3 linked regions of the Caenorhabditis elegans genome follow. The protein of the gene in region 3 interacts with the protein of the main gene of each other region in a pairwise test. Each region holds a gene or a part of one and is shown on either strand. Other genes may lie near its edges. The genes, in order: itr-1, unc-45 and nmy-2.

Region 1 (5,708 bases), on a different chromosome or scaffold from region 3:
AACCACAATAGTCTGTTTAAAACAGGAGAATCATCAATGATAGTTTGCAAATTAATATTATCAGTCTAAAAAATCAAACTAATAGTATTAAACGGATTATTTAGTTTTGCCATTGTCTGGAAAAAAGGAGTATGGGAACACAAATTGCGATAAGTACTTCATCAGAAAATTTACGTAAAATTTAAAATTTAAAATAAATTTTAAAATTTATAGGGATTTTTTTATTTAGAGGTGGTTATCAAATTGTGCGACTGCACCAAAAAATAATTTTGAACGCCATAAAATTTTCCGAGATTTCTCGTTGTGATTTTCAGTATTTTGAGAAAATCTTGAGTCTATTCAAGCAACAACTCAAAACTGTTACTTCCCCTTCAAAAGAGATACACCTTGGAATCTGGATATGCCAGGATTTACTATAAATCGGTTATAAGAATACGTATCATTAACTTTAGATTTAAATCAAATTCATCAGGTTCACATGCATTTTTATTATTCAAAATTGATACATATTACTTCAACATTTAATTGGAAGTTAGTATTGCTTGCAATAGTTCACTGATTTATTCGAATCTCCAAGTTAATTCAAAAATAGAAGCACATATGATTTGAGAAAAAAAATAACTCGAGAATAGTTTACCAAAATTTTTTCCAATCAAAAATACCTCAAATAAATGATCATTACACCCTTTTTATATCGGCGACCTTGTACTTTTTTCCAAAGTGATACCGATACCAGGAGACCATCTCGATATACAAAGTACTTGAGAATGAGCAGCGTTTCTTCTTTTTCAAACAAATTTGAAAAGGCTCTTTTTTCTTGTTGATACAGGAATATTCTCGCCATTCACGTTGTTTTTTCAATTGTTTTTTTTTTGATAACAGTAAAACAGGATTTGTAACAAAACAGCCAAATGACACTCAATTTATTCTTCGAATAATACGATTTTTCAAGAATACAAACTAACCTGGATTTCCTCATAATTTGTTCCTCAAAATCATCAAAATCAAATTCAATTCGTGTGCTTCCACCACCACTAGCACCTCCACTGGCCGTCGTTTCGTTTTCGTCTGAAAATTGTGCAAAACTAAACATTTTCTCATTTTCTTGTCATTTTTTAGACAATTTCTTCACATCGGATGATCGACGGCACGGTACGCTCAAAGCAAAAGGACTATAAAAGTTTAACGATCTGTGTCACTTCTACACCACACTCTTTTACACAAATCACATTTGACACGGTTTTTAATTTTTTTAAGGAAGTTGTTTTTAATTTTGAAATAAGGAGTGATAGGTTAGTTAGCGTGTAAATTTTCAGAAACATGCAAGGATTTGAACTCAAAAAAGCTATTTAAAAAAACAAAAAAAACCATGAAGTGACAACTAAACATCTAAAACATTTTGGTTTTATGAGCGAGAAGCTGAAGACGATTATGCAACGAATCACAGCTGTGAAGCACGTTGTTTTATGAGCAAAATGTTGGAAAAAAGGAAAGCAAAAAACTGAATAGAAACGGCAATATAAAAACATATACACGGAACGGGAATATGTTTTATTTAAAAGTTGGTTGGCAACTTGCTCATGCTTTTTAATACTCAGTTAAATGAAAAGTATCGCCAGTGAGGAAGTTGTTTCAAATCAGCCCAATAATATTGAAATTACCGGATATCTTATAGTTAGCAGAGCTTTGTAAAAAATTATCAAAGTTTTTTACTTACAGTGAAACAGTGACAATTACTTAATTTTTTCACCTATTTTGGAAGTCGGCAATTGTTAACAATTTTTATAAAATTTTGAATTTCATGAAAATTGAAATTATTTTTATTCAAATATTCTAGAGGTTCACATCTGTAGCAATGCTCGAAATTACTCAAAAAGTCCAAACTTTCTGAAAAATCTACAATTTACAAAATTTCACCAAATCAAAAATTGTGGAGTGTTTTATTATGATTGTCGATTTCGGTATTTTCCTAAATTTTTCACAACCTGTTAAGGCGTTTATACCAAATAATTTTCAAGTTAATTATCATTTCCTTCATGCATTGTCTCTGGATCATTCCTCTTTTGAATTAAAATGGCAAATAATGATCATCTAGCTTTTGATAATGAACATATTAATCGTACTAGATCTTTCATCAAATAATTCAGTCACAAACCAGAACGATCAAACTCTCTAGCCTTTTTAATCGAATTTGGAATTTACAGTTCAGAGATTGAAGTTGTGTAAAGAGAAATAGAGAGAAAAAGAAATTGATCAGGTCGACAATTTGATGAACGATTCGATGACGTCTAATGTTAGAAATCAACGATACAAACTATTCGACAAAAAGATGAAGACGACAATAAATATAATGATATTCGTGTTCGAACATCAATCATTTTCGATTAGTTACGATGCCAACGAGACAACAAAAAAACATCTGTAAGTTCATTTTGTAAAATAATACGAACAGATGTGTGGAAAGAGGAAAGAGAAACAGAAATTTATGCATATCGTTTACCAGGAAAATATTAGAGAAAGAGACACAACAATCGGTATATATTTTGTTTGTTGAAACATTCATGAAATAGATGTATATGCCTCACATACATCAATAGACAACCAAGACGGTACGTAAGCCGCTTACAGGTGCCCCTTTTCTTTTGAAAGACAAGAAAAAATAGAGACCTCCGGGAACAAAAATGTGTTTTAAAGTGTTTTGCTGGTTGATGTCCCATATGATTGTATTTGTCTATTGTTTTATCGATATGCTCTAACGGTGAGTCAATAAATGCACTTTTTCTAGAAGAATTGAAAAAAAGTGTTTTTTTTTTAAATATTTTTAATTCAAAACTCTTTCATCATAGTCAAAATCAAAACCGGTTCTCAAAAGTTTGGCTTTATATTCAAATCTACTTTATGGACCAACTTTTAACACGAACAATAACAAAACATATCCTGTGAAATGGCGCCCGGTAATTTTAACTTCCATTTTACACATTTTGGTGGTTTTATTAAGTGTTTCTTGTTGGTTTTTTTTCTGGGGCGTTGGCCAAATAAGTTAGGCTCAATTTGAGACTATTTAGACGTTGGTTTTGAATTTTGAGAACAATAAATATAGTTCGCTACTCAACCTTTAAGGTTAAAAAGAAACATTGAAACTGAGAAAGTTCTGAGTTTCCTGTACATTTTTCAGTGATTTCATCAATGCTAACCGTATCAATTAGATTTAAGTTTATCGGTGAAAATTTGAAAAAAAATAAGATCGTTAATTGAAGCAGATTTTAGAAGTTTTTTTTTAATGTAAAAACTTACATTCATAATGCTCGGGAACGAACTCTGGAATAGATATAATGGATACTTTCTTACGAACCCGGCCATATGATGGATTCATTCTGGAATACTTTTTATGAAAAATGGAAAATAAGAAGCACAAAATCAATAAAAGTTTAAAAAAGAAATTGTAAAGCAAAATCGTATTAAAAATATAGTGACTCTCCAAAAAAGAACGGAGGAAACGTGTCACAAAAGGAGAAAAAGAGGAAACGTTTCTGAATTGAAAAGATTTGATGTTAACGTCTTGGACGGTCTCATGGTTCAGAGAGTTTTCAACAACAAATTTCTATTGGAAATTCTTTCATTTCATCTCCATTTTTCTTGTTTACTTTTTTGCAGGTAAACCCGCGCAAATAGTTGAAGTTGACACAATGTCAAAATGAGCGCGAATACCAATTAAGAAAGGTCAGATCGTTGGCATCGGTAGACAGACAACAATGAAAAAAATAGATTCCAGATGCGTTTGATTTGAAGATAGGAGGAAAGGAACAAAAGATGGTGGGCAACGGGAACCAAGTCACACTTATCAAATTAAAGGAATTAATGGGAATTCAAATGTATTAGCTGCAGTAGTCAATAACATCGAGATTTACAAGAAAATTATCTTTGAACAAATACGATACACAACGCTGAAACGGTGTGATACATAGCATGCAGCAATTGCCGTTCGGTAATCGACTTTTCGACGATTTCGGCAATCGCTGAAATTGTCGATTACAGGAAATCAGAATTGCCGAAAATATAAATGTGATATTTTTTGTAGATTTAGGAGCCCAAACATGAATTTTAATGAACAATGTTCTCTCTTTTCAAGCTCAAAATGATTTAATACTTGAAGGGTTGCCCGTTTTCTTTTAGAGAATGACTAACCTAATACAATAATTTTTGAGACATTTTCAAGTTGTCTCAATAGGTATTTAGGATCAATTTTGATTCTAAAAACAATCACCCAAATTTTGCTACTCCATCTTTAAGTGGAAAAATGAAGTAATATCGTTCCTGTTTTTCCATTTTAGTTTCGAAAATGATACAAGTTCAATTTCAAAAGTTGAAATATTCAGTTACTTTTTATAAATCTCATGTCTCTTTCATATCCCGCTAGTAATTCAATTCATATGAGCAGTCGACTACCATTTTGGAAGATAAACAATACAAATACGGGTTGCGAGAGACGAAGAGATCTCCAAGTGACACTTATACCGAAATGAGCGAAAGAGTTAGCGAATACATTTGTTTTGCGTACTATTAGCAGAGCTTTGAAACAGGGCGCAGCCTAAATTTGGGAGAGAAAGAAGATTTGTACGATTACGGAATAGAATATCCTACAGTAGAAAGTTAAAAAACATTACAAAATGAAATGTGCTTCATTAGGACAAAACAATATATTTTATTGTAAAACTAGTGGAAAAGAAAAAAAAAAAAGAAATGAAGAAGTAGTATTGGACTCCAAAAATATGATGTTTGATACTTTTCTGAAATGTGATAGTTTTGGAAATTAATGCGCGGATTTTTCTGAGCATTTTCTGAATCCATCGACTTTTTTAAAACTACATACCACATCTCATCTATTAATTTTAAATTTAATTTTTGCGGAAATTCCCACAGAGTATAGCCGGTCTGTCGGAAAATCAGTGCATGACAAACTAGAAGCTACAAAACTAATAAGGGAAATACGGGTTGTTTCAAACTAAATGCTTATGTTCGAATTGCAATATTTCATTCTGACTACCTTATTAATTTTCCCTTATTTTCCTGTTTTCAGAGCTCATATACATAAAGTTCACTTAAAAACCAGAACTAAAAAATCACGTACCGTTTTTGAAATTGACACACAATGTAATTTCACAGTTGGACGGAGCAGAAATCAAGGTTAGAAACATTTTCACAGTCTGTACTAGTTTTGCATTATATTTTCCTGTAATATTTTGATTTTCAAAAATCCAAAACCAAGATCCCTTTCGTACATCCCGTGATTGATTAAACAACAATGAGATTTCGAAAAGTCAGCATTTCTGCTCGAAAATCGTGTATCAAATCACCTTTGACCCTGTAGCTCATCATATCTAAACATTTTACAATCTTTTGATTCTTCATTCACATAAATCCAGTGGACCTCTTCCGTATTACATCAACTTCCTCGTAATATTTACAAATCTGTCGGAAGACAGTTTCGCACCTCACACCGCAAAAGTGGGCGGCGTGTCCGTGGCGGTGGTGGCCGGGGGTTGCAATGTGTCCACTCAACAGAAGTAACCTGTCTCTTTTCCCTCAATCCACCTGTCATCTTTTACTATCCTAAATTGACCATCACATCTTTTATTCTTATCACTTCCGGATGTCAAATGAGCAATTATGTGGTTACTGTATCTTTTAATTCTGAAACCATTTTTGTC
Region 2 (5,515 bases), on a different chromosome or scaffold from region 3:
AAGCTCCAAGAGCACACGAATTATCCAGATTTTATTGGCTTCTGCCACCTCTGGATCCGGCTTCATCTCCTTTTGCCGATCCATTTTAGCCATTGCATTGAAGACACGTTGCACCAGAATTCCAGTGGCATCCACAAAGTCTTTTGTGGATTTTTTGCACATTAGCCGGCACACAAAACGGACGGATTTTGGGCCATCTGGGTCGTGCATAGCTAGGAATTTCATGCATCTGACGCTATTTTTGATGGTCTCGTCGAGAATTCGGATTGCGGTTACGGTAACCTCCTCGTTTTCCGATGCGTCGTTGATTAGGTTCAGGACGAATGGAACAAGTGCGCCCTGGAAATATGGAAAAATTAGAATTTTTTTTTTGGGTATTTTTGCAGGAAAATATTCAAATTCGGGATACTTTGATAAAATTAAAATTTTGAAAAATAATTTTTTTTAAACTGATTTTTTAAAAGCTAAAAAGTTGAATTTTCAAATGTTTCTACAAAATCGGAAAATTGGCAAAAATTAAGGTTTTCTCGTTGTAGCAAAATAAATTTTAAAAATCTACAAAAAATTACAATTTTCAGTTTAAAAAAATTTCTTTAAAAAAATTAAAATTGAACTTTCGACAATTAAATTTAAGGAATATCGGAAAAATTTAGATAAAAACTGCAAAATTTTTCGAAAAACAATCTGAAAATTGCTCTGAAAATCTAGAAAATTCAGTTTTTTTTTGCATTTTTTTTTCAAATATACGGTATATTTTTCAATTTATTTCCATTTTTTAAATTTTTTTTTAAGTTCCATTAAATTTTCCCAGTAAATGTAGATTTTTCGTCCAGCTTCCAAAACTATACCTGATTCCAAACTCCTGTTGCTCCGGATTCAGATTCTCTGCACAAAACCAACAAGTTGTTCAACGCAGTCATTTTCTGTTCGGTGTCCTTCGCCTCACCACGGAACGCTAGCTTTTCCATGTCAGTTACCTGAGAAAATTTCGGGGTTTTTCAATGAAAATTCATTTAAAATTCGTGGTTTCAGGTCACAAAACCAACCTTATTAGCCAGTGAAGTGGTCTGCTTAATCTTATCATTGTTGGCTTTTACGAGACGCTGAAGAACTTCAACAATTCCTCTGAAAAATAGAAATTTGAGTGAAATTATTGAATTTTTAAGTGCTTAAAAGTGGAATTGTGAGAAAATCTTGGGTCTGCTAAATATTTAGCATACCCAACTTTGGTCTGCTAAATATTTAGCATACCCATCTTTGGTCTGCTAAATATTTAGCATACCTATCTTTGGTCTGCTAAATATTTTTCTTTGGGTCTGCTAAATATTTAGCATACCCAACTTTGGTCTGCTAATTATTTAGCATACCCATCTTTGGTCTGCTAAATATTTAGCATATCCATCTTTGGTCTGCTAAATATTTAGCATACCTATCTTTGGTCTGCTAAATATTTTTCTTTGGGTCTGCTAATTATTTAGCATACCCATCTTTGGTCTGCTAAATATTTAGCATATCCATCTTTGGTCTGCTAAATATTTAGCATACCTATCTTTGGTCTGCTAAATATTTTTCCTTGGGTCTGCTAAATGTTTAGCATACCTATCTTTGGTCTGCTAAATATTTTTCCTTGGGTCTGCTAAATATTTAGCATACCCATCTTTGGTCTGCTAAATATTTTTCCTTGGGTCTGCTAAATATTTAGCATACCCAACTTTGGTCTGCTAATTATTTAGCATACCCATCTTTGGTCTGCTAAATATTTAGCATACCCAACTTTGGTCTGCTAAATATTTAGCATACCCAACTTTGGTCTGCTAATTATTTAGCATACCCAACTTTGGTCTGCTAAATATTTTTCTTTGGGTCTGCTAATTATTTAGCATACCCATCTTTGGTCTGCTAATTATTTAGCATACCCATCTTTGGTCTGCTAAATATTTAGCATATCCATCTTTGGTCTGCTAAATATTTAGCATACCTATCTTTGGTCTGCTAAATATTTTTCCTTGGGTCTGCTAAATATTTAGCATACCCACCTTGGGTCTGCTAAATATTTAGCATACCCTTCTTTGGTCTGCTAAATATTTAGCATACCTATCTTTGGTCTGCTAAGTATTTAGCATACCTATCTTTGGTCTGCTAAATATTTTTCCTTGGGTCTGCTAAATATTTAGCATACCCAACCTCCTCAAATTTTGAAAAAAAAATTTTTTCGCTGATTTTTTAGCTGCAAATTTGAAATTTCCTACGTTTTTCTTCAAGATAAATTTTTAAACATGTTTTAGTGGATTTTTCAGTTTCATTTTGCATATTTTTTCACAGAAAAAAGTGAGAAAATTACAAATTTAAAACTAAATATTTAGAAAATTTATAAATGTTGGCATTTTAAACAAAAATTGTGAGTTTCTGTAGATTTTTAAAAGTTATTTTGCTATTTTCGATGAGAAAACCTTGATTTTTGTCAATTTTTCTATTGGCATGCTATATTTCGGAGAGAAACGTCTGAAAATTCTAATAATTTTTAGCTTTAAAAATCAGTTTCGGGAGGTTGGGTCTGCTAAATATTTAGCAGACCCAAAATTTGCAACTTTTGCATTTTTCACTGAAATTTGGTCATAAAAACTTTGAAATATAACTGGAAAGTGCCAGAAAAAATTATTTTTCTTTTAATTTTCATCGGTTTTCGCCTAGTTTTTCCACGCACTTATCATTTGGCGAGAGCCTCAGAGCCTCTTTTGCGTCTTGAAAAGCTGGCCCAACATTTCCAAGCTGTTCACGAGCCAGCGATCGTCTGAAGAGAGCTTTTACATCGGCCCCGTCGAATTCCAGAGCTGTAAATTTAGGTTTTTCAGCAAATTTTCCAGGTTTTTTGTAAACCTTTCGTGCAATCCGATTGTGCTCCTTCAAAATCGTCTCTTTTCAGCCGAGCCATTGCTCGATTTCTGTACAAAACCGGCCGAAGAGCCTTGTCTTCGTCAGTGGTGAGTTGGAGAGCTTCAGTGTATCTGGAAATCAGTTTAATTTCAGTTTTCCACTGAAATTTCAGAAAAACCAACAATTCATCAGCTTTTATATAATCCTGATCCTTAACTGCAGCATTTCCCTCGTCGCGGATCTCCTCCGCAGTCTGTACTCGAGCAACCATTGCTGAAAACCAAAAAAAAAAAACTATAAAATCATTATTTTTGTCAGGAGATACTATTAATTCGACGGATAAAAGAGGAAAAATCGACAAAAATGGTGTAAAACTGATTAAAATATCATTTTTGAAACTAATTTTCAAGAAAAATGCACTTAAAAGCTGTTTTTATTGAGTTTTAGAGTAATTTTCCCGAAAAGTTTCCCGCAAAAAAAAATTAACAAAAAAGGAAAAATGCAAGCGCGCTCCACCGGCACGTGTTAGAGAGTGTGAAGCGCAGACTATTTTTTGGAGGGATTTCAAATTTAATTTTTATGAAAACTTTGATTTTAAAGCTAAAACTAACGAATTTTGGAGATGTATAACATCCTAAAATTGACTTTCTTTTCTTTTTTTTTGAAATAAAAATTTTCACTGCAAGAAAATTTGTTAATGTCCTGGAAAAATGAATGAAGAATAACGGTAAAAAATCCAGTTGCCGCGGGAGCTCCGCCCAGGTGCTCTGGAGCTTTCGAAAAGCTCCCAGGCGGGAGAGATATCCTAGGGAATAGAAGAGAAATAGAGATAACGAGTGGGAAAAGTTCGGGAAAAGTCGAAAATATGTGGGGTTTCTGGAAAAATCCGAATTTATATAGTAAAAAAAATATATTTTTAGGTTTTTTTCAGGGGATTAGAGGATTTCAGAGAAAAAACGGAATTTGAGTGGATTTAAACAAAGGAAATCATCATTTCAGGATAAACTCAATATCCCAAATGGGTCTGCTAAATATTTAGCAGACCAAAGTTGGGTATGCTAAATATTTAGCAGACCAAAGTTGGGTATGCTAAATATTTAGCAGACCAAAGTTGGGTATGATAAATATTTAGCAGACCCATAAAACATCGTTTCAGATTTTCGTCATGAAAATAATTATATGGGCAACCACAAGGAAAATTTTTTCTCAAAAACTACGGCACTCGGATTTCTCAAAAACTACGGCACGAACCGATAAATTTTCTTGAAATCAGAAAAACGTGTGCCTTTAAGGAGTACTGTAGTCGTCAACTCCTTCAAAATTTCTGGTATATTTAAATATATTTTTTCACGTGGAATACTAGAGTTTCTAAATAAATATGTACTGCCGTGAGGCTCTAGTGCTATACCCGGCGGCTATGGGTCGGCTGAAATATTTCTGGAATTTTTGATATTTTTTTTTCGGAAAAAATCAAAATAAAAATTTCATAGTATTTACATTAAAATAAATTATATAAATTCAAAAAAAGGACCTAAAATTCATAAAAAACCTAGAAATTCTTAGGTTTACTAAACCCACTAAACCCGAACTTTATGCAAAAATCGATGAAAAACGAATAGAAACGTCTGTTCAGCGGAAAGGGCAGTGTAGTAGTGTCCGGCCCCCGACGGATAGTGTAAAATTACGGCGGAATCCGCAGATCCTCTCCGGTGGTGGGAGCCCTTGCTGTTTGAATAATCTGTCTGCGTCTCTCTTCAGATCTTATAACTTTTTGTGTGCATGCACTGTGAGCAAATCATGTGAAGATTTCCTATAACTTGAGACTGTCTTGGGGTGGAAAATGGGGGTAAAATAATAATGCACAAAGGGGGTCTCGTAGTACAATTCGAAAGGGAGAAAAGGAGGAAGCAATGAAGGAGGAAGCAATGAAATGAGTCCCGCTTATTTCCTTTCGATGTTCGAAAAAACAAACATAATTCATTAGAAGACCAGCCACTGAACCAGAGCGAACTCCATGAATTTGAATTTCGTGCAAAATTTTTAGAAAAAAGAAATTTCAAATAACTCATATTTGAACTTCTAAATAGAAAAAAAAAATTGTTTAAATATTTTGAAAAAAAAAAATTTAAATTCGAGTTTCCCGCCAAATTTATATGAAAAGTTAAAGTTTGTCTAGATTTTTAGCATATTGTAAACTTTTTAAATAGAAATTCGAATTTCCCGCCAATTTTTTCTCGAAAGCCTGTGATTTTAATTTCTCAGCTAATGAGAATTCATATCTTACAAGGTTTTGCAGCCACGTTCAATTTGTTAAAAATTTATTCAAAACCAAGTTCCCCGAAAAATAATTATTCAAAAAAATAAAAATTATGTGAAATTAAACGCAGTCCATCCGGTGGAACTTTCGCTACTTTTTCTCAAAGTCACATACAAATCCATTGTTCGTTCGGGTTTCTTCATCAAAATCTTAGTGTCAATAAATTGGGAGTACGGTGGGTTACGTCCGTTGAAGAATTCCGCGTAAAGTGGTACGATACTGTCATAGCTGCCCCATACCAGCATCACAGTGTTGATATTGATTTTTGGATCTGGAATTTTGGATCTGGCTGATTTATAATTTTTCAGAACGGTAGGTTTTCTA
Region 3 (5,569 bases):
GTTCTTGTTCTCGCTCAGCAATTAATTCGTCTTTGTTGGTAACTTCGAGAAGTGGCTTCACTTTGGTCAGAAGTCTCCACCATTGCCATTCACGCAGTCTCATCCATGCCAAACCATTTCTTTGAAGAATTTTGATAGCAACTTCTTGTTCTCGTCTGCGTACCATCACTCGGCGTCCTAGCCATCCACGACATTGAGCTTGGAAAGATTCAATAAGAGCGGAAAGCTTCTGATCACGCATCTCCTCAAACTCAGCTATAACTCCAGAACGGAAGAAGATCTTAGATTGACCAATACGGAAGAGGTTGGCGTCAACTTCCAGATATTGAACAATACGATAAACGGCGTTTTTACCGTCCATGAATCCAGCTGGGTTGACATCAGGGGCAAGAAGTTTCTCGTAGCGTTGACGGAATTCTTGGAACGGGAGCCGCGTAGGGAATCCTTGACGGCATATACGAATTCCTTCCAACACTCCGTTGCATCTTAATTGATCAAGAACAAGATGAGCGTTGAGAACTCCATGTTTCTTTTCGTGATTTGGAATGATGCAGCGAACAAAGTGAGGATTGGTGTTATTGAGAGTACTCATAAGACGAGCCAATTGTTCTTTGTAAAGTTGAGAAACAGTACGGAACATTCCCTTCTTTGGAACACGAGATCCAAATACTCCGGTATCTGAAGTACTGTCAGCAGCTGACAAACTGCAAACATCAGCGATATCTTTCCACATGTCGACAATAAGAGATTCCTTTGAAGTTTTGAGCACATCAATCACATTCTCATTCAATGGATCCATGTTTTTCACGCGCCAACCTTCAGATTGATAGTCGACTCGGCCCGCATAATGAACAACGGCAAAATCGCTTCGTGAGCGAATCTCTGGAACGACGTACTTCGGATGTTGAGAATGAGTGTTATTGAGGCGTTGAACAAATGATTGATCATTTCCTTGTGGGAATAGACAAACATCATCAAGAGTTGACATGATTCCCATAGGCTTATCAATCAAGTCAATAGTCGGTTGAAGATTGAGGCCGAAATCCAAGAACTTCCACTCCAATCCTTCATCAAGATATTCTTGCTGTTCACGAACGAACATTGTATTGTTGAAGAGTTGTTGAAGTTTCTCGTTAGTGTAGTTGATACATAGCTGCTCGAATGAGTTTGTTTCAAAAATTTCAAAACCAGCAATATCAAGAATTCCGATAAAGCTGACAGATTGTTGACGGGTCCGATCGAGAGATTTGTTGAGGCGATGAACCAACCATCTGAAGAGTCGCTCATACGAGGCCTTCGCAATGGCTCCCACAGAGAAATTGACTTGGTCTACGCTTTGAGCTCGATGGACCAAATCCCTTTGAACCTTGATTTTTGGCTTCAAGAATGCACGCATCAATTCGGTAACATTGACTCCGAGAAGTGAAGCGATTTTTTGAGCAACAGCGTCATTGAGCAGAACAGCCTGATCGTTATTCTTGTTTTCGTGAGAAAATTCAAGATTTCCAAAGAGCATAACTGCCGAGACAACTCTAAGTATTCCTCCAATCTCTTCGTCGTTCAATCCCATAATTGACATGGCATTCAGTGTTTCCTTCATCTCTGCTCCATCATCAACTCCAGCCAATTTACTGTCACCATTTGAGACAAACTTGTACTTGGATAGGCTGTCTTCTAGGAGATAATGTTCTGAAAATAAACGAGTTACGGTATTGTAGAAACATTTAATCTCACCTCTCTGTACTTTTGAGAGTCCTTTCAGCAACTGGTAGAAAATGTGGAACGATCGCTCATTGGGAGCTTGTTTCAGCACGCGAGATTTCTCCAGAAGATAAAATTCAATATTCGCTCCAGAAATGCACCCTGTGCTGTCGAAATGAACGCGAATGAACTTTCCCTAAAAAATTTAACGATGCGTGCATTTAAAAAGTTATGATCACTCACAAATCTACTGGAATTATCGTTCTTCACTGTCTTACTGTTTCCGAAAGCCTCGAGTATGGGATTTGCTTGCAAAAGCTGTTCCTCAAGCTGGCCCATGATCCGGTTTGTAGATGTGTCCAGATCAACGGAAGTCTTCCGATTCTTCACCATCGACCGATTTGCCACATAAGCCAAATACTGAATCACTTTCTTTGTATTTTCAGTCTTTCCAGCTCCCGATTCTCCACTGAAAAAAACAACACATTTCAGGATAATATAAACTCGTATATTAACTAACGTGCAGAGAATTGACTGATCATCTCGTTCTTGAAGCATGCTGCGGTAGGCTTCATCGGCAACAGCAAATATGTGTGGTGGCATCTCCTTTCTCTTTTTGCATTTGAACTGTTCAGCAATTGTATCCGTGTAGATTGGAATTCGTTTGTATGGATTTATTACAACGCAGAACAAGCCAGAGTATGTCTGAAAATAATTCGATTGATATTTATATAAATGTATAAGTTTTTGCCTTAAATAAATATTTGAAATGTTGCAAAGGTCATCAGGATCTCTTGATTATTAAAAACCAACGACCGGTTGAGACGTTCTGCATATTTTATATCTCACCTGATAAAAAGATTATCAAACTACAGAAATAACTGTATTCCTTCTTAGAGATAAAGGTCACAGCAAGGTTCAATATAGGAAAATCTCCGGGAATGGCAGAAGCCGGTCCATTTACAAAATTTCTACTTTGAAACTTATTCTATAATTTGAGCTGGTTCCTCTGAGTTAGGGGGTTAAATCGCCACAAAGAATTGCTACGAAAGAAACCGCATCTTAGGCTTATGTAAACGCCAAAAGACGACAACCAGCTTGACGAGAATATTTATATTCAATGAAGAATTGTTAGCTATCGACAAACTTACGTAGTAGAGATTCGAGAAATATCGTTGCTTTAGATTATGAAGAACCGACGCTTCATTCAGACACGTCAGCATTGACATATCCTCGCATTTGTCATATTTCGGAGGATTTGGCTTCTGGCAATCATCAGACGAAACACGCTGCCGTTCGCCAGTCTCCATAAGCTCAATGTCGATAGTTCCGTCTGCATGTGGTTCCCCGATGACAGCTCCAAGTGCGAATCCATCCTTCTCACTGGGTACCCACATCAACTTTTTTTTCGCCCAATCTGCCGAAATCGATGGATTGAGGAAGTCTGTCTTGGCCTGAAAATTAGAAATAAAGCTATAACTATAAAAATATTTGAAGAAACATACTCTCAATTGGTCAATCTCATCATCTTTTTGTCGAGATGATGTCATTATTACCGCTGGAGCTGTTGTTGTAATCAATTAGCTGAAAAGTTAAATGGAATAAAAGGCGGGTAATCTGCTTGTCCCATCTGACCTGACCTCTGGTAACTGTGGCAAAACGCGTTTTTGATACACGACGTCCCGAAAATATTTTCAACATAAAATTTTTTAGACGTCAAATTTTCAAATCCACTTGTTGCTACGGCTACAGAGTTCTACAAATTTAGGGACACGCTGTTTGATAAAATAAGTATGTGGTAAGAAGAAAAACAATAAGGTCATGGCATTCACGCGAAGAAAAATGAGTCGTGGAAGCTAGTTCTCAAAAACGGGTTTGATAATATGCATAGGCTCAGGTGTCAGCATTATCCCTCAAAAAAGGAAAGAGAAAAGTATTTCAGGAAAGGCATTCCATAAGACTATTCAAAAACGTTACGCAATTAAATTCGTAATTCGATTATGAACACGAATTCGCAGTGCGATTCACCAAGGTTGACTATTGGAAACAGTAAAATGAAACGAAAAAAGTGAGCACAAAGATTGAGAATAGGGTTCACACACCATCGAAATTTCGATTTCCGCCCACATCAATTATCAGCGTCAACAGATAAAGCAACATACCTCTTGTTTTTGCCCAGCCTACGCTTTTATTGATTATTTTTAAAACTAGTTTAAAGAAAGGGTCAATTTCTCAGAGGCCACGATGGCACGCGACTTATAATTCAAAAGTGAAATAAAACAATCTTTTTCTCAAAAATCTGTTAGTGAGAAGCCTTTCGTATATCAAATACTTCCCACAAAAGGACGATAATGGAAGCGCAGCTGTGCCGATTTTCCAGCTGTCTTCCCTCTACCGCTGACCCTCTTTTTTAACTGGCGTTCTCCATTCCGCCATTGCATTGATAATACGATGGGAAGCGCTAGTTCCGTGGGAACCATCCACTTTTGGTAATGTACGAACCGTTCGGTGAATTTCGCAATATTTTGGTGTGAGGTAAAGGAAGATGCGCCGAGGGAAACAAGGGTCAAAACGAAATGCAAACGAATACCCATTCAGGCCAAGCGTGCGCGCCGAGAATGAAGAATAAACGGACGGGATAGGACACGAATTGGCTCTCTCAACTTGTCACAAGTTACCGACATGAATGGTGATTCAGAAAACAGAACAGGAATCTTTTCGTGGTGACGCCGCGGCATTTGTATTGGGTTTGGCGCCAAAAATAGTAGAAATGGTGCGCGAGGATGATTTGAAACTGGCGCCCTCGGCTGTCGCGAGACCCGAAGAACTCGGGGGATGTTCAACTGGGGGGATTACCAACTCGGGGGATTGGCCCCGCCCACAGAACCGTGGCTTGCAATACGCCCATTTCTGCAAATGCCGCACGGTTTTAAAATCATTTTTTCTTGTTAATCCTCGCTCTATTGATAAAAATACAGTTTTAAAACCGTGCGGCAGTTGCAGAAATGGGCGTATTGCAAGCCACGGTTCTGTGGGCGGGGCCAATCCCCCGAGTTGGTAATCCCCCCAGTTGGACATCCCCCGAGTTCTTCGGGTCTCGCTGTCGCTGGACACAGTCTGCATTTTTACGTGAGGGTGCACCAAACATATTTGAATTGTACACCATTACGCCACCTTGCGGCCGTAAGAACTCGTGCTTTAATATTGAAGCCTCAATTAATTTTCCTGCATTCAACGAAAAAAATAACTCACTTTTTTTTCAAATTTCAGATATGGACGATAAAAAGGAAGAAACACCATCGATTGCTCCTGTTCTTTGTGGAGAAGAAGGTAGATTGAGTAAATAAAATGCTGAACATCGTTCGAAAAAAAGATTTGCTTTAAAGCCAGAACTGAGTCAATAATATAAATTTGATTTATTTTAATAAAAATAAATGAATAATTATTTAAACATTGCATTTTTTTCTTTCAGAGGAGGCAGTCACCCTTGGTGAAATCGTGGAAACCATCGATTATTTGGAAGACAAAGCCGATGTATTGTTCGCAACCCAAAATCCAAACGTTTGCACTTATGCAGAAGGCTACAAACCTCGTCAAACATTATTCACATGTCTCACATGCACACCTGCTCCAGAGATGGCTGGAGTTTGTTATGGATGCGCTTTAAATTGCCACGACGGGCACATCATTGTAGAATTGTACACAAAAAGAAAGTTCAAGTGCGATTGTGGAAATTCAAAATTCGGCGAGAAGAAATGTGCTCTCTATGAGGATAAAGATGCGAAAAACGAGTATAATATGTACAATCATAACTACAACGGGAAATTCTGCACTTGTGACGTTTTCTATCCCGATGAAGACGGTGGAA

What was found.
Region 1: the proteins of nmy-2 (region 3) and itr-1 interact in a two-hybrid assay, tested with the Caenorhabditis elegans proteins (one study listed by BioGRID).
Region 2: the proteins of nmy-2 (region 3) and unc-45 interact in a two-hybrid assay, tested with the Caenorhabditis elegans proteins (one study listed by BioGRID).

The regions. Positions count from the first base shown.
Region 1 is NC_003282.8:7,672,839-7,678,546, reverse strand, and holds the start of itr-1 (Inositol 1,4,5-trisphosphate receptor itr-1), read right to left. Parts: upstream 3,374-5,708; coding exon 3,295-3,373; intron 2,016-3,294; exon of another isoform or gene 1,866-2,015; intron 1,069-1,865; coding exon 966-1,068; intron 1-965. Other genes in the region: C08G9.2 (uncharacterized protein), read left to right, coding at 5,668-5,708. UniProt on the Caenorhabditis elegans protein: Receptor for inositol 1,4,5-trisphosphate, a second messenger that regulates intracellular calcium homeostasis.
Region 2 is NC_003281.10:489,179-494,693, reverse strand, and holds the start of unc-45 (UNC-45/Cro1/She4 central domain-containing protein), read right to left. Parts: upstream 3,148-5,515; 5' UTR 3,146-3,147; coding exon 3,057-3,145; intron 3,006-3,056; coding exon 2,878-3,005; intron 2,832-2,877; coding exon 2,705-2,831; intron 2,288-2,704; exon of another isoform or gene 1,859-2,287; intron 1,126-1,858; coding exon 1,047-1,125; intron 978-1,046; coding exon 849-977; intron 340-848; coding exon 1-339. Other genes in the region: F30H5.5 (Salivary lipocalin), read right to left, coding at 5,242-5,462.
Region 3 is NC_003279.8:7,931,293-7,936,861, forward strand, and holds the start of nmy-2 (Myosin-11), read right to left. Parts: upstream 3,286-5,569; 5' UTR 3,252-3,285; coding exon 3,207-3,251; intron 3,156-3,206; coding exon 2,853-3,155; intron 2,407-2,852; coding exon 2,222-2,406; intron 2,171-2,221; coding exon 1,945-2,170; intron 1,898-1,944; coding exon 1,735-1,897; intron 1,690-1,734; coding exon 1-1,689. Other genes in the region: T22C1.1 (UBR-type domain-containing protein), read left to right, coding at 4,974-5,031, 5,174-5,569.